Struthio camelus: one gene and its partners. The protein of the gene in region 2 interacts with the protein of the main gene of each other region in a biochemical or structural test. Links are inferred from orthologs where the notes say so. Each region holds a gene or a part of one and is shown on either strand. Other genes may lie near its edges.

Region 1 (9,794 bases), on a different chromosome or scaffold from region 2:
GTAACTGGGAGTGCTGATGCAATTAAGAAATCTTCTTGCTCATAACATGATTCCAGGCTGTGAACTATATCATATAAACTAGCAGCACACAGAAGATTCCCTGAAAAACAAACTCCAAAAGCATCAAATAAACTTGACATCTTTTATTTTAGAAATTGACTTTAAAGACAACAGCATAGCATAGGCCAGCAACTAGGTCTAGGGTGTTGAACACAGATCATGCCAGCACTATGATCTGGATTCATTTTTCCCAACTTGGAGGTTTAATATCTTGTAAGTTCCCTATGTAAAGAAAGACAAGCTCTTACGAAACTTAAGTTAAGTACCTGAGAGCTGAATCACTCTTCAGAGATGCCTCTTTCTCTCGATTTGACTCTAGAAAAACCTAGGGCAATTGTGCTCTTGCCTGTGGCACTGCCGTCATCCAGCCCTATGCCATACCATTGGGCAAGGAGCACCAGTGACAACTAATGGGTCCAGAGTGACAACCTCCTTGACTTTGTTGCAACCTTAATTTACAACTGCTGTCCCTGATCCCAAGCCACAGAAACAATGAAAGTTGCAGAAGTGGCTAGCAGAGAATAGAATTATAATGAACTACAATAGTTTGTTTTTGAAAAATGCAAGACATTTTGCAATACTATATTATAAATATATTTTTTACTAAAGCCTTTGCAAGCCTCGTTTCAATTGCTGAAGGAATTGTTAGATCTTAGTGCATTCTATTAGTGCATCTTGGGTGGAGCTTGTCCAAGCGTCTGTACAGAAGCTGGAGAGATACTGAAGAAAAAACTGTGTATAATGCCCACTTGCTTAATATTTGAACATTACGCATTTACAAATTCATCTGCCTCATCTTCAGAATAGAATCTGTAACTTACCTTTAAATTCCATAGACTTTCGAGAACCTTAAAGCACCAATTCACCTGTACTTCTTTAAAGAACAAAAGATATCCAAAAAGAGGTACCTGTCTTATTGCTGGGCTCTCAAATGCACGCTTTATCAGCAGTACTTTTTCTGCCCTACAGCACTAACGTCAGAGTAGCAGCAGTGCTGTCAGAGGACAACGCTGATTCTAACCGAGTACTAAGAATTACCTCATCCTAGTTTAGGTAATGCAATGAGGTCATGCTCTCTCAAGTGGAATACACATTTCCCTGTAGAGGATGATCTCATGCTAGCAGGGATGGTGAGCGGCAGGGGAGAAACCTTTCAGGAAAATATGTTAAGAATTTAATTAAAGTTGTTATTCTGCTCCTTGATATTCTTTTCTCTAAAACCTTAGGTGAGAAGAGCTTTCAACTATATGGAAACTTAAAGATCAAGTAGCTGATGAACAACAGCATTTTTAATCTAGCAGAACATTTTCTGTAAGTTTTAGGAAGCTTATTTTGATAGCTCTTTCTACATTATTTTATTTGAAAAACTTGATAATATTTAAAAATCCTGTGAGGCAGGGATAGAAGGTGTAAATAAAGATAATCTTACAATCATATTTGGAAGTATTAAGCAGTAAAGAATAAGCTTCTTGAAAGGGGTCCAAAATCTAGAGCTGTCAGCAAGCTCTGAGAAATGACTGAAGTAATAGCTTATATGTATAGCAATAAAACCAAAAATATATTTTGCCCTAGATAAATGCAATTGTTCTAATTCTTTTCTTTTGACAGACTAATGATAAATAAAAAAAATGTGTTTACCCTAGTCCAGCCTCTTATTCCACCTGAACCTAACAAAATTAAATTCACATAATCTTTATCACTATTGTCATAAGAACCATCAAATTTTTATTCAAAATAATACTTGCCTGAATATTGAGCCATACGAGACAAGTTAACAATACAGAGATAAAAATAATACCAAAGCTTCTCAGACAGGAAAGGAAGCAAATAACCCATCTCTAGTTACCAACCATACCCTGAAATATGCAAACCACAGCAGACAAGAGAACACATGTTCAGTATAAGCCAGCTGCTACAAAGCAACGATCATAGCAGTACAAAAACATGTCTCAAACGGAATCCAAGATCATAAAACGTATCTATAAAGACTGCCAAAGGGCACAGTTTTCCACCTCACATGCTTGCAAAAGAAAACGTCAAACATTCAAGGCAGCTTTTTTTAATGTATATGGATAAGGAACATTGCAATACCAATGCAGACATGCAAAATTAATAGTTTACATTATATAATGTATATTGATAATTAGATAATAGCAGAAGGAAAATATATAAATTGTCTATAAGAAAAAACAAAAAAAATTTTGAAAAATATCATATTTTCTGTGTGATATTACACCATTATCAAATGCTGCTTCCCTTGATGGAAGCATGCCAATATTGTGACAGCACTTCACGCTGCTTCTAGCCTGGATGTGGTTGCTGAAAAGCACTGACACCGGGCCAGCAGTCTGATCTTCCAAAGACAAACAGATTTAGTTAATCAGCATTGATGTGTCAACTCAGCACATTGAAAATTTATTCCCAGAATACACAGGGCCTTTGCTTATTCATCCATCTATACCTATTAGCTACATTATCACCACAACCAATAACGTTAAGGAGCCTGATCGGCTGCTAGGGGCAAAGAGTATATTTTTAAGCCTGCCTACTAACCACAAGCAGAAACTCAGAAGAACTACAACTATTAGCTGGAGAATCAAAGAGTAGATTACCTATACTATCCTTCAATCTAGCAGCGAACGGACCGACAATACCTTGGACAGGGACATCTACATGCTATAAAAACTTAGGGTAACAGTTTCTGTCAAGTGAGTGACTCAAGTATGTTGATATTTTTCCCTGTATTTGCAGGATCAGAACGTTAAGAGGCAAGTAAACACTCTTACCACCGCATTCGTGAATCTGATCTCAGGATGAATCTTAGCTAACACACATCCAGCATTTTGTTAAGAACTGGGTCACTGAACTGCCGTTTTTCGGACAAGACTTGACCTGCTGTCTCCAAAGAGTTGTTTTGGTAAATCCAAGTGCAGTTTTTGGCCCTAGGTTTCAAGTCAGTTAATAGTCTATCAGAGGGACACTGGAAAGTAGTTTTTTAAGTTTAGTAATCTTTTCCACACACACACACACACACAAATGCTCCCATCAAAATAAGAAACGATTAGTTTTAAGCTTCTGGTAAATCAATAATCCACCCCAATCCAGGTGTTCCTGTCCCCCACCCCCCACGGCCACGGCCACAGCCCATCGCCGAGGCGCCGGGGCTGCTCTCGCAACGCTCTCCCCAGCCAGCGGAAAGGGCAGGGCCGGCAGCCACCTCGGGTGTGCTCGAGGTAACTGCCCCGCGGCCACCGCTCCGCTCTAACGAAACATAACAAAAGCCGCCGGCAGGACAAAGGCATCGCTTTGTCCTGCTCCTGCCCCGGCGGCCTGCGGCCGAGGGCGCCGCCGCTTTGTCCGGCCCTGCCGCCGCGCCCGGGCCCGCCCGCCCGGCAAACCCCGCGCCTACCTCCGCCGCCCTTACCCACCGGCTCGTCCCCCTTGCGCGGCGCTGCTCTCCCGACCTGGCCTCCTCTCCCGGGGCTGGGCGGCGAGGGAAGGAGCCACCGCCTTGTGCGAGGGCCTCACTGGCTCCGCCCCGCGCGGGGAGGGGACGGCGGCGGGGGAGGGCCGGGCCAACGGCGGCGCGCTCAAACGCCAACGGCAGCCGGCCGCGCGCGGGCCCGCGGCGGTGAGTCGGGGTCCGCGGCGGGGGGGGGTCTTCCCCCCCCCCCGGCCTCATCGCCCCTCGGGGCGCAGGGGGAGCCGCGCTGCGGGAAGGCGCCGCCAGGAGGGCGGGGGCGGTGAACCCGGCCGTTGGGGCCGTTGGGAGCGCGGCCGAGGGGCCGCCCGCCCTGCCGGCTCTCGCCGGGGCGGGGCGGGGGGGGCGGGGGGGGAGGAGGCCGCTGTGCGTGCGCGGCCGCGCTGTGAGGAGGAGGAGGAGGAGGAGGAGGAGGCGGCGGCGGCGCGCGCTGCTGCTGCTCTTCGGGCGCCGCCCCGCCCGAATTGTCACTCATAATTTCTTCATGTTTGGACCTGGTGATGTTCTTGTTACCACCACCAGTTACGTCGTGCTGGTAAACTGCAGGTCCTTATATTCTTAGCATAAAGATCTCAAAACCTAGTCGGAGTTCCCTGGTGTTTTATAACATTCAGACCATGATAATGTGTGAAGTGTTTAAATATGGTCGTTGCTGTAGCTTACAGAGAACCTAATGAAGTCTGTGCTGGCACATGGGTGACAAATTAGCAGTCATGCATTTTGATTGTGATTGTGCCTGAATTACACCTGCACCGCAAGTGCGGAAGTGCCCAAGCAGGCTTTAAGTTGCGTTGCGTACCAGGCCTCTTACAGCTGCCTGAGCATAAAACTTGGTTGTTTCCTCTGTACGCTGCAGTGGAAATACCGCTTGTTTGTGTTTGAATTTGCGTAACCTGGATATGTGTTTTGTTTCAGTTCTTCTGTGTGCTGAAAAATTAATGTGTTTCTGGCAGTCCAAACAAGTGGTTGATTATGATCGTAAATAAATTGCAGGGGATGAATAGCATATGAGAGGGCATCTTTCTGGTTTCAGTGATCAGAAGAAATACAGATATACTGAACTGTATCAGAGCAGGCCCTTCCACTTATGATGGATTTTATCTCCCATGGCTACGTGATGCAAACTTGGAAATTGTACAGCTTAGCAATGAATGTAGTCTGAATCCCTTCTTACTAGAATCTGAATGCCCTGCCATGCGCTCTTATGCAATAGCTGTTTGAATGTAAGAGGTAGTTCCTGCTTCATTATGAACTTTAGGGTCAGTTGTTTACTTTCTTATTCGTATATTGACCTTTAGTAGCAAAAAGCAGGGTAAATTCAAGATCAAAAACTAAATTTTCCAACCTGTCGAAATAGGCACTTGCTTGCTTTTTGATAGTCTTTCATCAAAGGGGGAAATGAAATGCAGAGTTTGTGATCTCCCGGGAGATATGTTTTCTGAATGTCTTCATATGCTATCAAAAACAGTGAAGTACAAACATGCTGATGACAAAATTTCTTTCTGGGGAGTGAAATGAATATAATTATTCCCATTCCTTCTGGTGGGAAGGAACTGAATGAAAACGGAGTCAGAATTTCCATGTAAACTCAGGTGGCTTACTAGTCTGTAGGTCTAAACTGTACATGCTCTAAGTAGATGTGTTACGTTGGGTATATTTGGTATAGGAGCTGAAGTTATTTTCGAAAGACCTGAGACATTGGACTGCTGAGAATCCATGAACGTTTGGACTGAAAAAAAAAGTGACAGATCTCAATTTAAAGTAAGAGGCATCATCCTTTGCTCAGACTCGAGTATCCCTGTAGAAATTGTTTCTGCAAAAAATATTCCTAAATAGGAAGTTTAAAATGAGTGTAGGATTACGGGAATTCTCCTTTGCCTCCCTCCTCTTTAACTGTGACCTTGTGGGAGGGTGCTGAGGTAGCGAATCTCTATTGTCCTTCTGCACTGAATTAATTTACAGCAACGCAAACAGTATCAAAACGAAACCAAAGGTTCTGCTGCTTCTGAGAAATGCTGATTGCCATCTATGATTTCTCTTTGCATTGCCAAGGAAGAAATTGATTGCATGAAGAGGAAGGGAGTGGAGGAAGTTCATAGGTCAACAGGCTGTCAAGGTCTGCAGACATGGTATATTTGGCCCCTGTAAGAGGAAAAAGCATTCTGTTGTTTAGGCTTGACCTGGGCACTACACCTTTAAACCTTTAAGGCAGGTTTAAGTGTACCATGGGCATAAATGCTGGAGTCCAGAACACTTCGCTGTGGAAAACTTGGAGGGGGACTCAGAGGATGTAGAATTTGGGCTTTGGTGCCCACAGGGATATTTAAATATTTAAATTCACCTTGCGTATCCAGTCTGTTAAAGGTATGAAGGCTTTTGAGTATAGTTAGTTTTGTTTTCTCTTTTATTGCAAGTGGCATGTTGTTAGGTGTACCAAGCGTTGGTTAAGTGATAATCCTAAATGGAATAAAAAGATGCATCTGAGTCTTTTCCACTCCTTTTCCCTCTTCTTCTGTTTCAGTTTTTTAGGAATGTTCTTAATCATTTGTAGGCATTTTGAATGGCAATAATTTTTTTTCAGGAAAAAAAGGTAGTAAAACTTGCAAATAATTATACCTCTGTTATGTTTAGGTACTTTTGTGTTTTACGTTGCTTTACAGCATGTGGATCCCTTTATGTTAAAGGTTGCATGACAGCAAGCATTACTGTGTCACATACCATTTCTTGAGAACAGACAGGGTTGCTATTTTAGGTTTGCAAGGAAGCACAGAAAACATGAGATTTTTAAAGCAGGTGAAACTATTACTGATCAATAGCTAAGTTCAGCATCAGAGAATGGAGCACTCATTTAGGATTTCAGTTCTTTTACTTTGAGACACAGAGCTCAGAGCTAGGTCACTGAAATCTTAATTTTTGCTTAGGAACTCAAGTGATTTATTACCCATATAAATCAATTACCCTGTTTTTTTTCTCCAGCCATAAAGTATTTGCCATAAAGCAGAAACCATAGCATTTTTGCACTCGTTACTAATCATGTGAGGCTAATTAAGACAGTTTTGTGTACTCTTGTACAGAGTGTAATACTGTTCTGTAAATCAAAATTAAACTTCTTGTGCATTCCCTTACTTCATCTTTTCTGTGTGTTGATCTTTGATTGAATTAATATGAAAATAAATGATCTTTACCAGAACTGCGTGGAAAGATTAAATGTTAAGGAAGGACTATCATAGTTAAATTGGGTGTTGGTTTTGAATATTGGCCATACTAGGTGAATAAATAATGAATGCTCAACAAATAAAGAATCAAAAGCAGAGGTGGGCATAGGGTATATTACAATTGAATCACAAACAGAAATTGATACTGATTTGGCTATTTGCAGTTGCTTTAGGAGAAATGAAGAGAAAATGGGAAGAAAGACTGAAGAAAGTTGAAGAACTAGCATCTCACTATGAAAGAAACCCTCTTCTTCCAGTTTACAGACCAAAGCTGTCCAAACCTTTTCAACCATCCCCTGTTTGGAAAATATTTTGTCGGCAGGCTGAAGCTTTTCACTATGTAAAAACCTGTGAAGAGGTACATCGTTTGTTAAATGTCTTTGCTCTTTGAGTACTTTCAATATTTGATTTCATTTAAAAGCCTGGTTAATAGTAAAGTCTTTAGCAGATTGCAGGATACTTTTGTTTTGAAAACCTGAAACGTCAATTAATTTTTTTGATCTTTGTAGAAGATCATGATGCACTGAAGTGAACTCTAATAAGTACTAGATAATAAGAATTGTACTCTAATAAGAATTGATATGTGATGTTAGCTTGAAACAGCAGAGGTGCTTTCTGGCAACATTGTAGTGATAGATTTATTCCTCAAGATAAGCAAGCTGGCAGGGTTAGCAGGAGAATAGTAAAGAGAGTCAGGTAGGAAGAAAGAGGAGAAAATATTGGGGGGGGAGGGGGGAGGAAAAAAGAGGTAGAAACTCAGCAAAATATATATATTTTTGTGTATTGGGTAAGCATTTGGAAGCAAAGCCTCAACAGCAAGAGGCACTATTTTTTGCTATCTATTCACTTAAAAGGATGTACACATAAATGTCCTGCTGCCACAGATTTCCTGTGCTGGCTGTGGACAAGACAGTTTTAGGCTGCCTCTAGTTCCCCACATGTGAAAAAGGCACAGTTTTTTGTTGTCCCGTGCTGCAGGAGATACGGGGTCTGTTACATTAAGAGTGTAAAATAGTCAGATACTGTGACTTTGGGGGCTTTTAAAATAACTTATTGGAAGGCTATTGCTCTCAGTCTCTTTCAGACTGTTCTGACAGTTGGTTTTCCTAAACATATTCTCACCAGCTCAGCAGTGGTTTTTTTTTGGTTTTGCCTTTGGATTTCTATTTTTGGATTTAAATAATATAGAATCTAAGGAATATTTGTTATAAAGCCATATGCAGACATCACATCAGTGAGAATATTCTTTACAGAACATTGTTTCTCCTTCCATTAAATGCGCTTGCTGTGATCAGAAAGAAAAAAGATTTTACTGAGCAAATAGAATTTACATTGATGTAATTTCATCATAGGTTTGTTAATCTCAACTTATTCAAATTTATAATCACATAACTGAAATTAGAAAGAACTTCTTAATTAAAAACAGATGTTTCTTAGGTTAGAAAAGGGTAAGTGATATACTTAGTTTTCTCATTTTTTTACTAACTTTTGATGAAATAAGTTAGTGTCAGGAACTTCTGAAAATTTTAATTAATTCTCAAAGCAACCTAACTTTTTGTTTGTTTGAAAAGGATGTTCATGTATTTGCCTTGGAAAAGAACACACAAAATGGACAGAGGTTTTACCTTGTGACAACATATTATGAGCTTTGGTTTTATTATGCGTAAGTATTCAAAAAAGACCCCTATACTTTACTGATGGTCGGTCAGTACAGCTCTGAGTAGCACAGAGCTGTAATAGTTTGCCTGAGGTTTGATCTTGGCCTTAGGTAAAGTCTACATAATGAAAAATCATTCTATTATATAGTGTTTTCAACATTTTTTTTTGAGTTGCAAACCTCCATTATTTCCTATGAATTGAAGTCCTCATGTCTAGTGAACTTAAATCTAATAGCAGTAGATTTACTTTTCCTGCTAGCTTTCTTCAGAGGATCACACTGACATACAATACAAATATATTTCCATGATTAGTGATATATCAGTTTAAATGCATATTAATATAAATGTCTGATTAACAACATACAGTTTTGCTTTGGCTTGATGAACAGTTTCAAGTATTGACAATCTGATCATGCACTGAATATCTTCAGTGGTTTTTCACAGTAAAACATCTGGTTATGAAGCAAAAGAAATCTAAGGTTTTGGTTTTTTTTTTTTTTAGAACTGTAAACTTGATTTTTTTTCCTCAACTTGAATATGGGAATAAATTTTCTCAGTTTTTAATTTAGTTTAAAAAATTATAAATAAATTCATTTTTAGTGCTTAAGTCATAACCCTGATATTTTATGCTATCCTTTTACTGTCATTTCCATCATTCCTTAAATTCTGGACAGCATTTCTGTTGGCAGTGGGTATTGTAAGACTTTGGGGGTGGGCTTATGAATCTAAATCCTAGGCCATACATCAGCAAAGTTTCTGAAGTTAGTTACAAATTTTTCAGAGCAGTATAGGGCTGTTACTTACATTTGTTTTAGTACAGGTAGTTGGTTTAAAAAATAAAAGAATATTTAGGACTGTGGGGTTCTTGTTTGCAATTAATAAGCGTGTATACTGTTTATTATGAGAGGCTGTGATTTGTTTTTATTTTTCCTTAGCAAAGGTTATAAAACAAGTCTTATGCATTGCTATGAAGTAATTCCTGAAAATGATGCTTGCAAACTTTATTTTGATTTGGAGTTCTACAAACCAGCAAATCCTGGAGCTGATGGCAAGAGTATGGTTGCAAAGTTAATTGAGGTAAAACTAGAACAAAGCCAATGCATCATGTTTAGGTTAACATGAATTAATTGTTGGTTTAATATGAAACCAAAGTATTTCCCACTTTATATTTTTGATTATTCTGTAGTAAAATAAAAAAAATGATTGTGTAGTTAGTGAATGTTTTAAATGAAGTGAAAAGTATGCTGTTAATTAAAGCAAAGGTCTCCTACTTTAAATGAAGGGGAAAAAGACAGCGGATGGTGGTTGTTGGAAGGCTTGTATTCAATATGGGTTTCATTGACACGGTGATTTTGTTTTATCGAGTCGTGCTATTGGCTT
Region 2 (9,952 bases):
AGTGCCCTGGTTCTTTTTTGACTAATTCATCAAGTGTCAGCATTGTCAGGTTGCTACAGCTAAATTAGTAGCGCTCCTTCAAAAGGGGCAGACAGAGCAAACAAGCCTCATCAGTGCACTGGGCTGGCAAAATAAGCTTATTCTGCTCAAGACAAAACTCAAATCGGCAACTTCTTCCAGCTTCTGAATAAGTGTTCCTACTGGGAAACAAGGGAACGGCCACCCTCAGCACTTCCCCACAGACACTGCTTCACGATCCAATTTTCAACGCTCCACAAACCAAAAGGGATTTGTCTGGAAGTTTGGACATAGACACAACACAGCACCAGCATCTCAAACAGCAACACCAAACACCCATACAGGCAAACGCAGGGACTCCAACAGGCAATGCAGTTACAGTTGCGTTGCTGTAAATGCCAGGACAATTTGTTACTCTGATGTTGACGAGCATAAGCCTTCAGAAGAAGCTGCGAAGATAAACCACAGCCCAGCTCAACTGCATTTTAAATGTGTCCTTCCCCCAGCCATTTCTAGCAGCCCCATGACACTCCAAAGCCCAACTTCCAAATGAAGATTTAAAGGTCTACTCCCTGCTACTACACTGTAAGAAAAACCATCCTACCAAGCCCCAGCGAGCACACGGGGAACAATGTGGTACCCAAACCCTTCCAAACTCTGTGGCTGGCGACACCCTAAGCGACAGAGAAGGCAACGCAACTGAGGCACGCAAATAGGCAACGAAGAACGGGGGTGTTCACAAAGAGGCAGAGGAGCACAAAAGGCAGAGGATTAGGAAAGCCACCTTACTGGCCCGCTCCAGGTGACCCTGACTAGATGCACTGGGCCCAGCATCAACTTGGAAAAAGCTGTTGCAATGTCACATTTCCCTCCCTTCTACCCTGAAGAAGGGAAAACAGATTTATCTCCCCACGGCTTTCAAGGAGGGAAGTGAGAGCAAGAGCTGCAGCACTGCTTTTTCAGGACAGTTTAAGTAAGGCTTGCTTGGATGAGCTGGGTCCTGCTGAAATTGCAGTTTATTAAGCACAGAGGGAGGAGGACTGTTTAGGCAAAGGGCCTTGGAAAGGAAGAGGCTGGAAGCAGAGGGCAGCAAGGCTATCTGAGACCACAGGAGGAACTGACACAGAAGATTAAATTAGAAGCATGATCTGAAAATACTTAAAGCAGCATTTTAAAAAGAGTAAATGAGGCTTTTAAAAAGCCCATGTTTTTGCTGTGTATATGTGCAGAGCCAGATCTGCATTCCTGGGCTACAGCCCCAACAAGCAGCACTCATCACCTGCATCTTCACCTGCAGGACTGGTACCTGTCTCCTCTTTGTGACACTTTTGGCCTCATCCCAGCTAATCTAGCCTTGATGAAGTAGAAACATCCTTATCTGTGATGCCATCTGCCCCACAAGGTGGAGATTTATCTGCTGAGAACTGCAGGTCTGTTTCCTTCTGGAATAGCTAAAAGTGCTCTCCACCCAGGAGAGCAAAATATCATCTCAATGCACCTGGAGAGCATGTCAGCTGGGACCTTTGCAACAAGTTCACCTGAAAGCCTGCAGACCACCAACAAGCTGTTCCAGAGCCGGGCTGAACAAACAGCCCAGAGAGGGGCACAGAGTCTTCATTAAAGGCTTCAAACAATGACAAGCACACTTCACACTTTGTCATTAAATCAGATATACCTGTTTTAGTCCAAGTTTCTCAGGGTTCAGCTTCTCGCCATTAGATCTTGCAATAAACTGAGCTCATTGATATTTCATTTTAAGCTCTGCCTGTTCAGGACTTAACCGTTCTACAATCCTGTTATATTGCAAAAAAGCCTTATGGAAGAAGATGGAGTCTCAAACGACCAAGGCCATGGTACCTCTGAAAGAGAAGTCATGTTGTCCTTGAGCACAAGAGCTGGGTCTCAAACAAAAAAAAAAAAACACAAACACACAAAATAAAAAAAAAACTAAACTACATCCCACCTGCATCTTAATTCCAAAGGCTTAAAGCCTTAATTTCCAAGGACGTTCAGCAGCATGAGGTACTTCTGTTAACAACTGGGGACTGCACAGGGAAGCATGCCAAAGCCATACCTCCTTCCAAATATCATTACTCTATCAAGACCAAGGAGGAGGAAATCCAGGGGAATAATTCACACCTGATACAAAATACTGAAAAGCCTCAACCTTACTTTTCTCCTTACATGTGCAGTCAGGAGGAAGGAAAAAAAAAAAAAAAGCATTTCACACATCACAATGGAACAAAGCATAACTGGGTTAGATTATTTCCCATTCTTAGAAGAAATGGCACTTTAACATTCCCTCTCTCAAGAGCAGCCTGTAAATATCCAACTGAGAATTGACAAGCCTGTTTTCATTGTCCACCTTGAGAAAAAACACACACACAAAATGAGCTGCATACGGTAAACCACTAGATTAAACATCCCAAATCTGAGACACTGGCAACAAAGGTAGAAAACCTTCACAGAGGGCAGCCATTGCTTGGCAGAACAAATCAGTGTTTCTCAGTAGTGAATTTTGTCCCATTCATTCAGACACGCTTTAGACATCTGCCTAGATCCACACAGATAAATGCAGGGCAACTAAGAAATACGTTGCATGCAAATTGCTGAAGTGACAGCTTAGCTCATCTCAGCTGCTCCTTCCAGCGAGCCAGTTTCCAAGCAAGACCAGCCTCGCGCTGCAAATGGAGCTGCACCTCGCGTGGTGCTACTGCAAGCAAATGGAAGGAGAAACTCCCTCTAGAGCGATGGCAGCTGCCCTCTCCCAACCACCAGCAGGACTGCTTTTCGAGGTGTTAATAACCATCTTCCCAGCTGAATCCTCCCTTACACTAGCACAGCAGACAAAACGCAGGCAGAGATCTCCATCCCTCACCTGAAGTAAGCCCTTATCGCTCTTAACGGGCTTAATTGCTCAAAGCCAGGAGGGCAGGTGTGCCACGCATCGCGCCTGGAAATACCTGCCGAGAAAACTTCCCTTTCCCCCCTGTGAAGTTAAGACTTAAAACAAAGAGATGCCCAGCAGTTAAAGGGGAAAAAAATACCCCTCTCACAAGGCAAACCCCGGGAAGGGGGCCAGCCTCGCGCCCCGGCCGGAGCGGTTTTGGGCACGGAGGGCACGCGCAGCAGGGGGGAGCGCTCCTGCCCCAAACCCGCCGGGGTGGGCACCAGCATCCCCAGCCCGGCTGAAAAAAAAGCCCACCTTTGAGTAGCGTTAAAACCCACCTTAGGCGAGCGTATCGTTAACGTTTTCCCCTCTGCATCTGGGGCGATGCAACAAAGCAAGGCAACTCCGGGGCACCGTGACCTCAATAGCGCGTGGCACCCCCAATTTTTAGGCTAAACAGGGGCAGCTCTGATTTCTGACACACCTTCTCCTCACGGTTTTGGTTTTTTTTTTTTAATTACTATTATTTTAATTACAGCTGGTCCCTGCCTCCCAGGAGGGCGGCTACAGAAGATGGCACCGCGCAGCCCACCCCTCCTGCCGCAGCCCCGCCGGCACAGCCCCCCAGCCCCACCTGCCGCAGGGAACGGGGGGCAAAAAACGCCAAAAAGGAGGGAAAGGGGGAAATCATAATTCAAAAAAAGCCCCCCCCCTCCCCCGGCCGCCCCCCACGCCGCCGCGCACCTGCAGCCGGGCGGCAGCGCTGCCGCAGGGGCCGCCCCTCGCACTGCTGCAGCGGGCAGGCTGCAAGGGGGCGGCCCCCTCGGATAACCGGGCCCGGTAACGGGAGGGAGAGGGGACACGCCCCTCCGCGATTTTTTAATTTTTTTTTTGGGGGGGCCCTCAAACGGGTTCCCCACCCCCGCCCGTTTTCTGCGTTTTAGCACGGGGACAGCGAAACGCGCGGCTGCCCGAGCGGAGAGCGGCGGCCAGCCGCGCAGCACCTTTCCTCCCCCCAAATATACCCTCCCCGGCCCCGAAGGCTCCCTCCGCCGGTCGGGGGCCCGGTGCCGCCTACCTGCCGCTGCAGGAGAGTCCGCACCGGAGCCGCGCGGCGAGTGACAGCGGCGGCGCGGGCGGGGCGGGGCGGCGCGAGCCGGGGGCGGGGCGGGGGGCGCGCGCGAGCTCCGGAACCTTCGCCGAGCCGGGGGGGGGGGTGGTGGGGGGTGGAGAGGGAGGCAGGGCGCATGCGCCGAGTGGCGCTCACCCCCCCCCACACACACACACAGAGAGCCCCTCCGCCAGCGCTCAGGCCGGCGCATGCGCGGTGAGAGGTTGGAAGGGGGAGGGAGGGGCCAGCGCCGTCTTTTGTCTGCGGGAAGCGGGGGCGCGCCTCGCCCCGCCCACAGGGGGCGCCCGCGCGCTCTCCTCCCCCCCCCCAACCGCCATTTTACGCCGGTGGCCGCCTCAGCCCCTTCCCGCGCTGCCGCCTCCCCCGGACACCACCTCGGGGCAGGGCGGGGGGGACCCACACCTGTGGGAAGGGGCCGACAGGTGACACGTTACCCCACCTCCTGCCCCCAGGTGATGCAAGGAGCTTCGGGGCTGCCCCACCATCCAATGCAGCCCCACCTGAAGGGGCAACTCATGCTCCCCGCTGCTCCCAGAAGATCCCCCTCCACCTGCGAGGGCAGCCAGGCGCTCCAGAGGCTTATGGACACAGCAGAGATCCCACCATGGCCTTCCTGCCTTGCGTTACACGGTTACTATGCTTGGTAATTGGATTTAGTGGAGAAACTGCAGGAGGGATCCCTTGTCAGACAGGCTCAAGGTTTCGTTTTTTCCCCCGGGCATCATTCAGGTGCAAATCAAGGGCAAGCGTCTGATCTAAGGACAGGCTTCTGACACAGGTCAGGAAGGGAAAAGCAGCACAAGAGAGAGAAAGAGAAACAGATGTGGAGCCTGCAGCACCAGAGGTTTAAAGCATACTAGACAACTACTGGTTGGGAATGGTCCATCTCGTTTTGGAACAAAGGTCTCAAGGTGTCTCATAGCCCTATGGAGAGCCAGAGCCCTTATGTGTTACAGCAGCGTTAATACCTGCACGAGTACTGTCAAATGATGAACAGTGAGCGAGGTGGAGATCTGGATTTCTGAACATGCGGCCATGAGGTGGTTTTATCAGGTCAGTAGAAAGGGGCGAGACATAAAAACCTTTTTTTCCCCTGTCCATTTTTAACTGGCTTAAGAATGCCATGAATTGACATTATGCTGTAAATTGGTTGGAGAATTTCCCCAAGGTAAATACATGTTCTGTGAGAAATATCACCGCTTTGGGAACTGTAAAATGAAGTAAGCTATGAGGGGATCCATCCTTGTGAGACAACATAAAACAAGCTGAATTTGAACTTACAGTGCAAGCAGCTAGAGTCCAATTGTGGAACAGCAGCTCTTCCTACAGGCGGTACAGATGTACCAGGAACACAAGACTGACTGCACTGGCAATCAGCTGCTCAGCTGCTCCTCCTCTAATATGACCATTTCTTCTTTTGAGGAGGGCAAAAACCAGAAGACACTCCCTGCCTTAACGTCCCAACACAAGTTATTCTGGATAATCAAATCTGGACTTCTTGAAGCCCTCTCAATCAAAGCTCACATTCGCCTGCCTGACTTTGCTTGGGTCACCAAGCACCGAGTCCCTTTTGGATCCAAGAAGTCACAGACTGGCAAGTATCATTAGCCAGTCCCAACCAATGTACAGGCACATCACTCTCACCACATTATGGCCATGTAGAAGATCTGCCAGCAAAGGCTAGCCAAGAGTAAGATGCATCAGCTGGTGGCTTACAGTACTGCCAGCCTGGAGGAACACAACAGCAACGACTCCCCCATAGTTCAGTCCTCCAGGACTGCTGTTGTACAGCCAAGCACCTTCCTGCCCTTAAGCCTAGTGGTACAGCACTTGGAAATAAAAAGATGCTAAGAGCACCATAAGCAGGACTGGCTACAGAAGGGCACCATGAGCACAGACTTGCTGTTTAACACTGTGTTCAGAGAAGCAGGACCCCATGGATATTCTTGGTAAACAAGATTACTGCAAAGAAATAATCAAATCTACACCCATATTTTCCTCCTTACTAACACCCTGCAGGGCCTCAGCGTTGGCTGAATGTCCATGTCACAAAGAGGTAGCAATTGGGAGAAGAATCCCTTGTTCGGGTGTCCTGACTCCCCACATCACACATGCTAGCTCGCTGCAAATCCACCTCTTTGATGTGAAACCCCACCGCGCAGCAAGGTCTGCATTTTGTACTACGTCTCAGGTCGGTGCCCAGCAAACCTCCATCTCCACTCCTTGCACCACAGAGGCGCACCCCGTTCTGCATGGCATGGGCGCAGGTTGCTGCTGCAGCAATACTGAGATGTTACGGGAACTGCTGGAGCAGCGCGAGTCCTGAAGCGCTGCTCAGCGCTCTGAGCCCCAAGTGGAATGAGCTCACAGTAATTGCCAGGGCTTCTCACCCAGCCAACAGGAACTGCAGAGAAACACTGTAGCCATTTCTTACCTGTACGCACAGCAGGCTGACAGCTAAAGTAGACATTAATTACTGCATGGAGCTGTTCTGGCTACTTCTTGTTTATAGGGTATTTTTGCAAGGAAAGAGAAGTTTCTCCTGCAACTTTAAACTTGCTCCAGGCTCCTTCTTTCTTCCCTTTAGGCTTGGACTACTGCTAGCTGGAAACAAGCTACTATGTTTTCCTTTAAAATGTGATGCTTAGCAACTTTGCATTAGACTTGTAGCTTCCATAGCTGTTTCTTCATCCACAAAACAGGGCTCATCTTCCTTGCAGGTGAGTTTTGCAACTTGTTTCAGAACTGCCTCAAGGTTTCCTATGACAGGTGCTACGAAAGCCAAGACATGATTTCTCAGGCCTTGCCTGGAGTGGGAATTGACCTGCAGAACTGCAGCTGTGTGACAATTGCTGGGTTATAAGGGTTTTAAGACTAACATCCCCAAGGCCTTGTTTGTCTTCAAACTGCTTCATTTCAGTCACTTAATTCAGATTAAGGGTGGCCTTTGCAAAACCATAATGAGCCTAGCTGAAATAAATACTCAAATTCTGCACTAGCTTAACTCCATTACAATACCCACGCCTTTTGCAACTTGGCCATTAAAGTTCACCTAAGCAAAGAAAATGGGTTAATCGCTTTCCAAATGGTTTGTAGCAAGGAGACAGGATTGATGTTTCTGAAACAATTCCAGATGCTATCGCCTGCTCATAAACCACAAGATGATCCCTTCCTAAACAAGGAAGCCCCAGGCAGACACAGGCCCCAGACTTGCTTCCCAGGACACAGCCACTAACGCGCACATGGCACCAGACCAGGGGGCCAGCAAGGTTTCAGGAGGGCTCGCTGGGCTTTGAAGCCTCACCATGGAGATCTCAGCAGGGAACTGGGCATTACACAAGCAGCTTTCCCAGCCGTGCCTGTATGCTGTTAGCAACTGCAGGAAAGCGGGCATTACCCAGGCCGGCTCTGAGCAGAGCCAAACAAAGCTGTCGCCTTCTGCAAACCTTTCCCAGCAGCTCCAGGCACGAGGGGGGATTAGAGCACAGCTGGCTCCGTTCCCCACACATATTTGCTACATACATATTTTGCAGTTCTCTCCAAGCAAAATCAGCTTACATTTCATTTTCACAGACAGGCAAAATGGAGCACGATACCCCTCTGTAAACCCCGCTGAGGCCAGTGGGGCTGCAAAGACAGAAATCAGAGAAACACCCGCGGCATTGCAATGGTGCAGGCAGCAAGCAGGCCGTGACTCAGCAGAAAGAGCCAGCCGGCAAGGTCCTCTCCTCTAGGAACAGCACTGAGCACCAGGAAAGCAAATTTATCACTTTCCTTCCGATCACTTTTGCAAGTGGAGAGACTTGACAAATTGAGGTTAACCTCTTGGGGACCAGAGACCAGGTAATACCCTTACACTCACCTCTGTGTTTCCCTGCACCCCAGCTGAAAAAAGATTATACCTTTTTCTTCTCAGCTGACTAATGTGGAAGGCATGCAGAGCCCAACACCTACCAACAGAAGACAAGACCCAATACCCCTAAGTTTTTTTTTTTTGGTAAGTTAACCCCTTTTCATTTTGAAACTTTCTGCTACAAGGGACATTCCAGATCATGTAAAGCTTGTGTACCCGTAATGGGCTGAGTTGTCTGGTAACTGGTTAAGGAGTTACCGAAAGCATTGACTTGTTACGTGCATGAATTTATCCTGTGAACTGAAGCCATGAACTTGAAGCTTACACTCACTTGGACTTGGTATCACAGGAGGGCAGTGAGCGTTTGGGGAGAACTCTAGATCTTGTTTCTCCTTATCCAGGCTACAGCTCCTCTCCTTCTGCTTAGCAGCACAGCCCTGGGGTATTTACAGCCTCCACCCAAATCCCAGCACCAGCTCATGGGGCTGAAGTCTGGTCACTGCCCTGGCATTAGCTGCCCGCTTTGTTGACAAACTTCACAGAGAGGCTAGTGATCGAAAGGGCCTTTCCCTCCTGGAGGGGGGCCACCACCGCAGCTCTGCCAGCTCTATGGTGAGACAAGGAACGTCACACTCTGGGGTGAACCAGCCTGCTCACCAAACACCACTGTGTCTTGGGACTCCAAAGCCCTAAACTGTTCCTGCTCACATCACAGCCTGATAGGGGCCAGCTGTGGAGTGCCTGGCCCTGAAGCCTCTCCAGCTCCTGCCAGGGGATGGCAGTCTTAGGAGAGAGCAGAGATGCATGTAGGTACCAGCATAGCCTTTCCTCCCTGAGTTTAAGGCGGAGAAAGAGTTCAATCTTGCTCCAAGATAAAAGATTGCATTATGCAGTGACACTAATAGGCTTTGCAGCAGAGTTATCTCATGCACTCAAATACAACGGCACCAGGAAACCTCCGGGCTGCAGCTCAGCAGGACACACCAGGGGAAAGACTGGTTTTGTCCTAGTTCTACCCTAGGCCCCTGCAATCAGCTGCTACTTGTTACCTGCTGGGGCTGTACAGGGCCAGACCAGAGCCTGTTCTCACTAACAGTGGCTGGCTGTCCTGATTTCAGAGGGACTTCGAGAGCCATCTGCTGTTATCAGTTCACATTACAGCATCAGGCAACACCTCTGCCTGGCAGGCACCCAAGACACCCTTCAGCTTCACCTTTCACTCTGTTACTCTCCCACTAGCCCATAAACTAGCAAGGACAGCAGAGAGCATAAAGCATCTTTTTTCTAGATTAAAACACTGCCGGGAACACAAACATTTTCAAAGAGCTGAGGTCTTTGCACAGAAGGACCCAGGAGTTGCCACAGGGAACACACACACTGGCAGCAAAGGTACAACCAGAACAAGTCCAAACAACTGTTTTAAGTAGAGATGATGTTTCAACATGCCAGACAGGGGCAAGTCCTTGGGCAGAGGCACAGTTCACACAGCACCTGCCCACCTGCAGAGGCAACAAGGAAACACCTAGTGCTTATACCCGCTCTTGGCAACATCAGTCATCACCACCACCAAATGCCATGAGACGCAGCAGCTGCCTACCCTGAGGGCCTCACCTCCAACACAGCAGCACATTTCTAACTGCATCCCCCTCCCAAGGCCAGGAAGGGCACTCCAGTGCCCTCTCCTCTTCATAAATAAAGCTAGCCTCAAACGAGACTGCTAGAACTCACAAGACAAGCTGAAGTCCTTCAGACAAAATGGATTTACCATCTGGCAGGCACACACCAAGGTCTCTGGAGAACCAGGAAAAATCTCTCCACACACCCCCAGCAATTTCCTTTTCCTATGGAACAGCAACCACCCTCAATCAACAGCTCATCCTCCTCCAGCACTGGGGCAGGCAGCATTTTATAGGCCCCAATGCCTCCTCTGCCTCAGCATGCTTTGCCATTTGGGGTTAAAAGGCCTCAGCTGCCCACCCCCCCACTTTCCCTGGAGCTCAGGAGGGAGAGCATGGCAGTGTGGGAGCAGGAACTTTGCCCTTCACCTGCACCCTGAGAG
Region 3 (10,647 bases), on a different chromosome or scaffold from region 2:
ATGAAATTCAACAGAGGCAAGTGCAGGGTCCTCCACCTGGGGAGGAATAACCCCAGGCACCAGTACAGGCTGGGGGCTGACCTGCTGGAAAGCAGCTCTGCCGAGGAGGACCTGGGAGTCCTGATGGACAACAAGTCGACCATGGGCCAGCAATGTGCCCTTGCAGCCAAGAAGGCCAATGGGATCCTGGGCTGCGTTAGGAAAAGAGTTGCCAGCAGGTCGAGGGAGGGGATCCTGCCCCTCTCCTCAGCCCTGGAGAGGCCTCCCCTGGAGTACTGTGTCCAGTTCTGGGCTCCCCAGGACAAGAGGGACATGGAGCTACTGCAGCGAGTCCAGCAGGGGGCTACTATGATGACGAAGGGACAGGAACATCTCTCCTATGAGGAAAGGCTGAGGGGAGCTGGGCCTGTTCAGCCTGCAGAAGAGAAGACTGAGGGGGGATCTGATCCATGTGTACAAGTATCTGAAGGGAAGGTGTCAAGAGGATGGGGCCAGACCCTTCTCCGTGGTGCCCAGCCACAGGGCAAGAGGCAACGGGCACAAACTGAAACACAGGAAGTTCTGTCTGAACATGAGGAAGAACTTCTTTCCTGTGAGGGTGACAGAGCACTGGAACAGGTTGCCCAGAGAGGTTGTGGAGCCTCCTCCTCTGGAGTTATTCAAAAGCTGTCTGGGTAGTGTTCTAGGTGACCCTGCTTGAGGGGTCAGTGCTCTAGGTGACCCTGCAGGGGGGTTGGGCTAGATGATCTCTAGAGGTCCCTTCCAACCTCAACTATTCTGTGATTCTGTGAATTGCTGAGGTAATCTAGCAAAGCAGAGCTTGGGGTTTCTGTGGTTTCATTCTGCTTATGATATGTTACTATGAACATATAAAAATATTTTATCAAAGATAACTCCATCAGGAGGTAGAAAAAGCACTGTTGAAAATGAAGCCAAAATAAAAAAGTAACAGCTCTCCAAGGAGTCACATATTAGGCAGTGCCTTTTCTAAATAAAGAGTGGTTCAACCTGCCTCTAGGGAAAGCTTTACAGGCCATTCCACATTTCTTTTTATTTTAGGTTCTTTACATTTGAAGAAAGTTTTGCTTGCAGCAAAGTTTGCTCCGTATGAGGGATAAAGCACACTACTGATTGGCTTTTCTAGTAGCTTCCTTTTGTCCCTACTGATATAGATGTTAAACCGAGCCCCAACCAGAGATGCAACAGGGGCAAACTGGTTGTCTGAACATAAGTGGGATATGATGCATCTCCTAGAGCTGAGCTGTCCTGTAACAAAACAACAACAACAAAAAATCACTGTTTAGGACATCTGCAAAGTGCCAAGCTGTAAAATGAGCCAATTCCATCCTATGTATTTTCATTACAACCTACAGGAGATATGCATTACTCATTAGCTCAAAGACAGCCCAGAGTTTTCTGCTGAACGTGCAGCAGAAAAGACTGTGAGACAACAATATTGATTTTATAAATTGAGGATAAAATCACAAAGCATTGTATTGTACTGTAGATCAGGAAACTATAGCGTGAAAGCTTTAATTGTTTGTCTTCACCAGTAAATGCCAGCAATGTTCCACTGGAACACAACATAGCCTTTAAACTGCGGGGAAAACCAGGGGTACAAAAAAGCTGATTGTATGACACAAGAGTTACAAATTGGATCTCTAAGGCTTCAAGATCAGGACTGTGCCCGAGTAGAGCACAGCCACTATGCTTCTGCTGGATAGATGAGGGATAAATACTGGGGAAAAAAGCACAGAAGTTTCTAAAGAAAGAAGTGTGCAGAAATAGTACAACTTAAAATAGAAGGATCGATTTTTAAGAAAATAGCATTGACTTACTAAAATATGACTACTGCTTCAGAAATAAAGCCTTAATTCATACTAATCTTTACATATTATCCCCTAACAGTACTGAGTGATTAGAAAGGAACATATAACCTTAGCCCACAAAAATTAAACCAATCTGTATTAGCAGCTGCAAAAACGCATCTTGCAAGCACAACAGAAGGGAACAGATCATCTGACCTTTGTCTAGCAGTCTGCTTTTGTCTTGCTGTGCCCTGTACTAGCCATCACTAGAAATAAGATTGCACACTCCACAGGGCTGTCCAGTACAGCGATTTCCTGTGTAGAGCAACAGTTTCATAACCCAGTAATTTGTCTTTACATGATTTACAAGTAATTAGCATTAGCAATCTGTCCTGCAGCACTGAGAATGCAGTTACGTCCAATTCAATCAAAGTAACTACAACTAAATAATAATGCTAAAGGGAAATTACTATACTTCCTTACTACTAGCTATACTGCTGTTTCTTGATGACCACTCCCTTCTCCTCCTCCAAAAAAAACATAAAATCAGCCTAATATGCTGCTCAGTTTTAAGCTTCCCCCTCTCCAGCAAAGCTGGAAGTCATAATCAGTGCCTCTGATAAAATGGGCAAAGGCAGCCAACTGCCTGCTCTGCTGACATGGACATACTGCTTGCATTTACTGTAATCAGATTTTAACACCGTCTGTGTTCTTGATTTTATTTCCCCAGGGTATTTCTTTGTGGTAAAGAGCCTGGCTGTAAATGCCCTCAGAAGGACATCCCCAAACACAGCTGCGGGGCTCAGCCGGGTACAGACTTTCCAAGTTCTGAAGCTAATTTCCCCCAACTCCGAGCCTTGCATCCTCCTCAAGGGTTACTTTTCTGGGTGGAGGGAGGGAGAGAAGGAGATGTTTAGTTTCAAAGTGGACATAGGATTCTTTTCCCCTGACGCTTGGCGGACTACAAACACTGCATTCTTGCTCTAGTTTCTCACTGAACTTGAATGCCACGCTTCAGCCAAGGACAGCCCTTTCCTTTGGTCCTCTCCTAATAATGCCAGCCATAAACTAGGATGCCTGACTGCTGCAGAGCGGCTTGCGTTTCAGCAGTGGGATCCCTCCCAAGAAGGCATGCATCACCTTAAGCAACAGAGCCCTGAGGATAAAACTCCTCACCCTGGGTCAGCTCGCTCCAGCGGCCAAACCTCAGTCCTTGCAAAGCCCCAACTCCCCAGCACCCACCAACTCCAGACTAAGGCCATACCTCTCCTCCTCCCTCCCCCCCCCCCATGCAGCTGTGCAAACTGCAGCTGGAAAGGGAACTCGCTGAGCACAGAAGACTGACACTTGCAGGTAAGGGAAGCGCAATGGGAACCACGGTTTAACCGTTATTTCCCTGCTTATCCCCCATTTTCAAGAAGGGCATGAGAATCCCGGCATGACCGCTGCTTTCCTGCTTCTCCCGGGGTTTTGACAGGCGGGCGAGAACCACGACTTCACTGCTGCCTCGCTGCTCAGCCGGCGCTGTCGGCAGGCGCCCGAGAGGCAGGACCCGACCCCCCCCGTCCCCAGCCGCGGGGCCGGGCGCTGCCCTTACCCTGCCCGCAGGCGCCGCGCTGGATGGCGATGACGGGCGGCTGGCGGAGGCGCTCGGCGCGGCGGCTGGCGGCCCGCAGCTGGCAGGGGCTGGCGTAGGTGACGGCGTCGCTGCCGCAGACGGGCTCGTTGCTGGCGCAGAGGCAGCGCCCGGCGGCCGCCCGTTTGCGCACGGTGCCCGAAGCGGGCACGGCACCGGCGGGTACGACGCACTGGAGCCCCTCACCGCACGGCGGGCCGCCGCCGTTGCCGCCGCCGCAGGGCTCGCCCTCCTCCGCCCCGCAGACGCGGCAGCAGCCGCAGGCGTCCAGCACGGCGCCGGCGGGGCAGGCGGCGGGCAGCGGCGGGCAGCGCGCCCGCTCGCAGCGCTCGGGGCAGGCGGGCGGCGGGGCGGCGGCGGCGGCGGGCAGCAGCGCCGCCAGCAGCAGGCTCCAGCCCCACAGCGGCATCGCGGCGGCGAGGCGAGGCGAAGCGCGGAGCGGCGCGGAGCGGAGCGGCGGCTTTAAGCGGCGGCGCGGCTTTAAGCGGGGGGGGGGCGGCGCGGAGCGGGGCGGGGAGGCGGCGAGCGCCGCCGCAGGTTGGCACTGCCAGGGCGCCCACCCCCCGCCCCGCCCCATCTATCTTTTTCTCCCCCCCCCCCTTCTTGTTTTTTTTTATTTTTTTTGCAAAAACTTTTTGACTGCATTTTTGTTTCTTCACCCACCTCACGTGCCTCACAAACAGGACTCGGTGCTGGACAGGAAATGAAGGGGAAGCGATTAAGACCCGCGACCGCGCTTCTCGGCGCCTCGTTGCAGCCCAGAAGGCTGCCAAAAAGGGCTTCTGGTTGTTGGCCTTCAAAGGCAGTGCTCCTCCAGAGCACCGAGGGCCTGACACACGGGTGAAGCAGCTGTTAATCGACCGAGAACGCTCGTAAGAGGCTTCTGACAAAGAGGGAGTAAAGTTCAACGCTTTTCCAGGATTTACCCGAAAGGCAATCTGAAATAAGCCTTAATGGCATTTCTTTCCGCCAGAAAAATAAGTAGACACGAAGGCCAGGGCGCTCCACCAGTAACCTGAAGGAATTAGTTAGGGGCTTTCGTTCAAACACATGTTAAGGTATGCAAATGCCAGGTCATCCATCCAGCAAGAATGCAAGGTATTCCTGCAGAGGAGGGGTCTGAGAAAGTCGTGACTGAAAGTCGAGTTGATCACTGGTGGTTAACCGCATTTCTGTTATCTGAGGGTGCAGTCCCATTCCAAGCCTAATCGGATTTAAGAGAAGGCTGCTCCCGAGACAGGTGTGCTCTTCCCCTCTCTCCCTGCACATTCCTGCCACTTCACTTTATCTAGGCTCCTCTCAGCTTTGGGGTGAGGTGGATACTCACAATTAACAGGTTAACCAACCAAAAAAGAGTACTCTTCCATCCCATCCATGGTCAGCGGGCTGATCCAATTTATCTTGCACTCGTGCAACTGCCAGAACCTGCAGAACAGATGCTGCCGAGAAACTGCCTCGGGGTAGACTAAGCTTTGCACAAAATTGCATCCCTCAGGTGTAATAAATAGGTTTTGATAGGATACTGATTAAGGAGGTCTCTCCCTCCCCTCCCTACAAACCAATCTATCATCACTGGACAAACATCTGGAAGACAGATCTAGACCCGCAGGCTAGACATCTTTTCTCCTACAAAAAATGGAATAATCTTAAACTAACAACCACCTAAGCAGGTAGAAGAACATATCATGTGTCAGAACTCAAACCTAATTGTCCCCAGGAACATTATGAAATATTATCAGACAGTGACCACAAAAATACAAGTGTCCAAACTGACTGGAATGCTCGGTTGATAACTGAAGGTGGAAGAGCAGGTAGAATCCAGCATTCCAATTAAAAACCCTAAATAAGAACCCCTTAAATTTGCTCCTTTCCAATAACTTCAACGCTGTGCAAGAGGAGAGATTTCAGGAGAATTACCCAATTCGAGAAGTGACCGAAATACTAAAGCAGTCATCTGGAACAATTAACGGCAACAATTAACAATTAATTTAGATTATTAGAATTTTTGCGATTTTTAAAAAAGTCTAAGAGAAAGTTTGAAAACATTTACAAGTTTAAATAATTCATTTAAAATGTATTTATATATATTGACATGCTAAGGTAAAATATGCTTCCAAATTACTATTTGTGTAACCGTTGCTTATCTGGCTACTTTTGATAAGCTTCAGCATTTTTCTTTACTTTGAAATAAGGACTAGTCTTCAAGGAAAGATGACAGTTTGCAGCAGAAAAATAAGAAACAGAGGTTCAGAAAAGACTGCTGAAGCTCCTGTTTGGAAACAGGAGGAAAATACTCAGACCAATGAATTACTATGGGGTTTAGTCTTCCCCCACACCCAAAAGGCTGTTTGTTTTTCTATCAAAACCTTTGTTTGCTTGCTTACAATAGGTTTTTGAAGTCACAGGACTGTTATCTCCATAGGTAGGAAAAAATTGCATGCAGTTGGAAAGCTCCTTCTTCAGTCATCCTTTCTCCATGGATGTGTTCTACCTTTGTAGCTGAGTATCCTTTGATATTGGTCATTCTAGGGAGCAAAGGCAAGACACGAACAGACGTTCAAAAATGTTAACAAAAGCCCTGTTGAAAGAAGCCTGTCTGGAATAGTTATAATTTACTAAGTCAATACCTAGTTAAAGCACTAAACTGAACGAACACGTCCTTACATCAATTAAAGATGAATTCAAAAACAAAAATACCAAATGTTTGCTTAGCTGTTTGGCTTAGAGATTTAAAAATCTGAAGCTAAACATTTAACTACTTCAAGAACTACTGCAGGTTAGTAGTGTCGCATAAAAAATCTGAAACACCAGTTGTATACATTTATCTTTCCCATTGTGTTTTTTTCCCCCATAACTCATCTGTCAGCACCATCAGTTTCAACCTCCTTTACCAACAAGCTAAAAATCTATATAATACACTAGTCAATTTTTTTATACTACTAGTACAGAAAATGTGAAAGTACATTTATTAATAGAATCAAAGGTAAAAAACTGCACCACAAGCATAGAACATAACCCGAAGTCTTACCTAAAAGTCACAATTGTCAGTCCACTTTCAAGTAAGTAGACTAGCATTTCCAAAACATGATGACCCTCTGCTGTCATGTTTTCTGAACCAGGTAAAGATGTGAATATTCTATTCAGTATTAAAAATTCAATTTTTATTATATGAGTTTTATAGGCTTCACGTATTTTTTGATCAAGACAAAAGAAAGCAAATATCTCACTTTCCAGAATAACCGAGATTACGTTTTTTTTTTTTTTTTAGGTGTAATATCCTTATTTACTGACAAATATATATTTGTTAGTGACCCACCTGTGTAGAAGTGCCTTACACCTCACAGGTACTGTAATCCTAGAAATTATTTTCCCTCCTCATTATAATCCCCACAAAATAGTTATCCAAAGCCAAAAAACATTTACCAATACTGAAAAACAACTGATCTGAAAAATACTTATGCTTTTAGCACTAAGATAATTCTTCCAAAAAGAAAAAGTTTTGCTAGTGCTGTTAGTGATCCAGAATTTGCCCCAACATTCAGTCTCTGCTGTATTTACTGACCTTTTTAGCTCACAGGAAAGCAGCAGGACTGAAAAGGTGAGCCGTTCCTGTAGCAACAGCGATGACAGTATGGTTAGATTACCTGTTCTGAAAGTAAGTTTTCCTGGATGCCCATGAACAAGGTGATACATCCTGGGTTACATGGGAACATTTACTGACTTAGAAAACCCAGTTTCAGAGAGCAGGAAAACGTTTTGCGGTATGGGGTGCTATCTCCAGTGGTTTCCTGTGCAAAGGAAGGAGCAAGAGAAGCCAGCAGCACTTGCCGCAGGACTCTTACATTGTACTGAACAATGGGGAAAAGGGTCAGACTTTGGAAAAAAACATCTGGGAAGACATGGAAAAGGTGGATAATAGCAACAAGCAGCAAGTATAGAGAATTAGAAAGTATTTTTGGCAGGAGGAAAAGGGGTTCAGATTATAATCTCAGGCAAGAAGGGTCCTGGCCAGAAGACAGGATAGAAGTTTGGGATTACTGGAGTGCCTATATTCTTAGTAAATCCAAATAGCTTGGAATTTGCAGAAAGTTTTTCTAGGTTTATCAAGACTGCGTTATCATTTTGCTTCATTCATTAGTGGCTTTCTCCCAGATTTTCTGTGAAAAAGAAAGAAGTGCCCTTGCTGTCCTGCATGTTTGGCCATTCTACAAACATTCTACAAAGAAAAGTGCAAATATTATCCTTCAGACAGGTTATAAAACAAGCATTGATGATTCAGTAAAATATGAAGTAAAATCTAATTTATCAGCTACACACAATGCACCGATATGACAACATGCAGGTAACACACCTATAAGAAATCTAAGTAATGTCTGTTCTATAATGTGCTCAGTTACCATTACGAGAATCACAGCGTTAGGAATGTAGTGCAACAGAGTGGTTTAAATTCTTAAAAGATGTGTTCACTATGTGTATAGATGTGCAAAATTACAGTGCTGACATAAGCTTTAAATGCAAAGCCCTAATTAAAAAGTCAAAGCTAGCACTTCAAGAAGGAATGTTATACTATTACTACTACACCATTACATAGTGCCTTTACAAATGAGGTTCCCCCCCCCCCCCACAGAAAGTTTGCACAGAAAATCTGAAACGAAATACTAAACCCAAGCCCAATATTTGTGACATGATGCAGTTACACAATAGGATTCATGCTTAACTTTCTGGAGTAACCTTCATTACTTCAGTGGAACCTAGCAGAAGTACCATGTACTTCAGCAACTTATTGGCTTGGAGCCTCAAATAGTTGTATAGATTGTGCTCCAAAATAGAGATGGGTGTTAAAACGTTAAATATAACGTATAAAAGGGTAAAACCATACATAGCACCGAATGTTTCAAACCCATTCTTTTATTCCATTTTAACCTTTAGGCTAAAAACTTGCTGTCCCAGTATCCCTTTCTTTCACTTTTTCCCCCACTCTCTTCTACCTCAAATAAATATGCAACCTGGCTAAGAAAATTAATGCCCCCAAAATTTCACTGTGAAGGTATGTGGGACAGAAACTAATTTCTCCTTCCATTATAATACGAAGTTCCTATACAGCTTAAAAAAATAGTCTTTGAATATTCACACTTTCTAACACATTAGCATTTCTACTTCACTTACCACATGATACTGCCATTATGACAGGGAATGCTCTGTGATACAGTGTCCATTTTTAACTCCTTTTCATATAGAATTTTGACTTTTGAACACAGCGCACCTTGCAGTTGCAAAAACTAAAAGTTTAAAAGGCCAGGAAAAAAAAAAAAAAAGAGCAAAATAGTAGCTCAGTTAGGGGGAAGAATAAGTTTCAAACTGATTAGTTCTCCCCCTACAATCTGTAGCCCTGATTAAGCTGGTCCACCTCCATCACACACTCTCTCATATCTTTGTGTCACATTATTTCCCCTCCCATAACCAGCAGAGATTTTTGTTTCCTTTATAGTCCAAAAGTTTAAAAGGTGGTACTCAGATGTGACGTTTTACAGGTCCTGCTGACGAGCTGCATTTAGATAACCAGTTTCCCAGCTACGCTCCAGAACTTTTACACTTCAGTAATTGAATGTCAGCTAGCTCAAATTAAGACCTCTTAGTATAGAAAGTTATTGCCTTATACTAATAAATATCTGCAAGCCCTTCAAGCAGTAATTGAGACTAATGCATCAAATGTGCACTCTAACATACATGTGTTCGCTTATCACTCAAAAAAGGATGCTCTTTCCAGACTGCATTACTACCTAGCTATTTGCAATAGGTTTCTCTTGCACTGCTTTATCATATGAAAGTGTCAGCTGTTTAAGACTGATATTTCATTAATGCTGTATTTTGTGTTTTGGAAACAGCATCGCTTCCTTGGGGAAATTGCTTTTTCAGACTATAAATGGTCAGTTTTTCAACTGTTTGTAATCGCCTTCCACAGTCAGCAGCATCAAAAGAAGCCTCATACTTTTATTATTCACTGGAAAAATTAACAGATCATTCACCTTTTTCCTGTAGCATTACAGCTTCCTCAGTAGTAAACTGATCTTGTAAACAACACCAGCAGGGAGGAAGAGCTGTTATGTTTTGTCTTCAGTGGATTTGCTACCATTGCCATTCAAAGTTTGCAAGGAGTAAAAGTTTTAACACTTTTCTAGAGCAGTTCAGTGACTTAACAATAGCGGATGGTTTCTATAAGGGCTTAAAAAAATCCACACAAAAACAACAAAAAACATTCAGAAGTATACTTCAAAGTAAACGCCCGAGTTTTTTAAAGCTATAGTATAACCTCTAGATGGTGCTAACATCTCACCACTCCATGTGGTTGATATGCCACTGGATTAAACTATATATGCACCACTTTGTTAAATCTGAAGTTCGAGTACGTGAAGGTAACTCCCAAACAATCGGATTTAAACTCATCGTATTATAACGAGTAATCTACAGTATTATAATACTATAAAGAATAATTCAATCTTTTCTTCAGTAAAGGGGCAACAGCAAATACACAGCAAGTGAAAAACAAGCAAGACAACATACAGTAAAACAAAGTATCCAAGTCACTTTCATGACAGCAGTTCAGGTCTCAAAGGGCTTTGGGAAAAAAAAAAAGGTTAAGAGGAGAATTAGAGGATAAAAAAGCTGAAAGCTAAGCAGCAGAGATGCATGCGTTAAGATAATTAAAGCAGAACTGATATTTTCAGCTCCTTTAGATGAGCTGTGGATAGCAATTGTATTATATTCTGACATTTCTTCCTAGGAAGAGTAAACTGTATCGCTGTACCTGGAGCACTATCCAACTTTACGTAACAAGGGACTTACTGAAACATCAACTCCATGTTGTAGCTGTCCAGCTGCAGTTGTCCAGTCTACATAATGTCTTATTTAATTACCATTCTTTATCTGAAGCTTGCATACCGTTCAGACACACTGATTAACTGCATCAACTTTACAAGAGGGAAAAACGCACTTGAGAAAGGCAGTCACTCAAGTATGATGATATAACACTATCTACTGCACAGACAGCGAGGGGCATCCAGATTTCATATAGGTGCAGTTATTTCAGGAAATCATTGTCAAGAGAATATCTGTTATGCACCTGTATGAAGTCAGAAAATGCCTGTTCCTGTCCTCCCATTTTTTCCTCTCAGATGGTGCCCAAGAGCACTTCCAAATGATTAA

What was found. The genes of interacting proteins can lie anywhere in the genome.
Region 1: of the proteins of MAPT (region 2) and CASP3, one has a biochemical effect on the other in vitro, tested with the Homo sapiens proteins (3 studies listed by BioGRID). The link is inferred for Struthio camelus from reciprocal best matches to the Homo sapiens genes MAPT and CASP3.
Region 3: of the proteins of MAPT (region 2) and HTRA1, one has a biochemical effect on the other in vitro, tested with the Homo sapiens proteins (2 studies listed by BioGRID and IntAct, with this or other methods). The link is inferred for Struthio camelus from reciprocal best matches to the Homo sapiens genes MAPT and HTRA1.

The regions. Positions count from the first base shown.
Region 1 is NC_090945.1:51,138,478-51,148,271, forward strand, and holds the start of CASP3 (caspase-3), read right to left. Parts: upstream 3,875-9,794; 5' UTR 3,489-3,874; exon of another isoform or gene 3,470-3,488; intron 3,003-3,469; exon of another isoform or gene 2,847-3,002; intron 906-2,846; exon of another isoform or gene 882-905; intron 1-881. Other genes in the region: PRIMPOL (DNA-directed primase/polymerase protein), read left to right, coding at 5,570-5,657, 6,921-7,114, 8,328-8,419, 9,350-9,491. UniProt on the Homo sapiens protein: Thiol protease that acts as a major effector caspase involved in the execution phase of apoptosis. Following cleavage and activation by initiator caspases (CASP8, CASP9 and/or CASP10), mediates execution of apoptosis by catalyzing cleavage of many proteins.
Region 2 is NC_090966.1:4,565,692-4,575,643, forward strand, and holds the start of MAPT (microtubule-associated protein tau), read right to left. Parts: upstream 4,069-9,952; 5' UTR 3,987-4,068; intron 1-3,986. UniProt on the Homo sapiens protein: Promotes microtubule assembly and stability, and might be involved in the establishment and maintenance of neuronal polarity.
Region 3 is NC_090948.1:5,706,728-5,717,374, forward strand, and holds the start of HTRA1 (serine protease HTRA1), read right to left. Parts: upstream 3,875-10,647; 5' UTR 3,854-3,874; coding exon 3,406-3,853; intron 1-3,405. UniProt on the Homo sapiens protein: Serine protease with a variety of targets, including extracellular matrix proteins such as fibronectin. HTRA1-generated fibronectin fragments further induce synovial cells to up-regulate MMP1 and MMP3 production.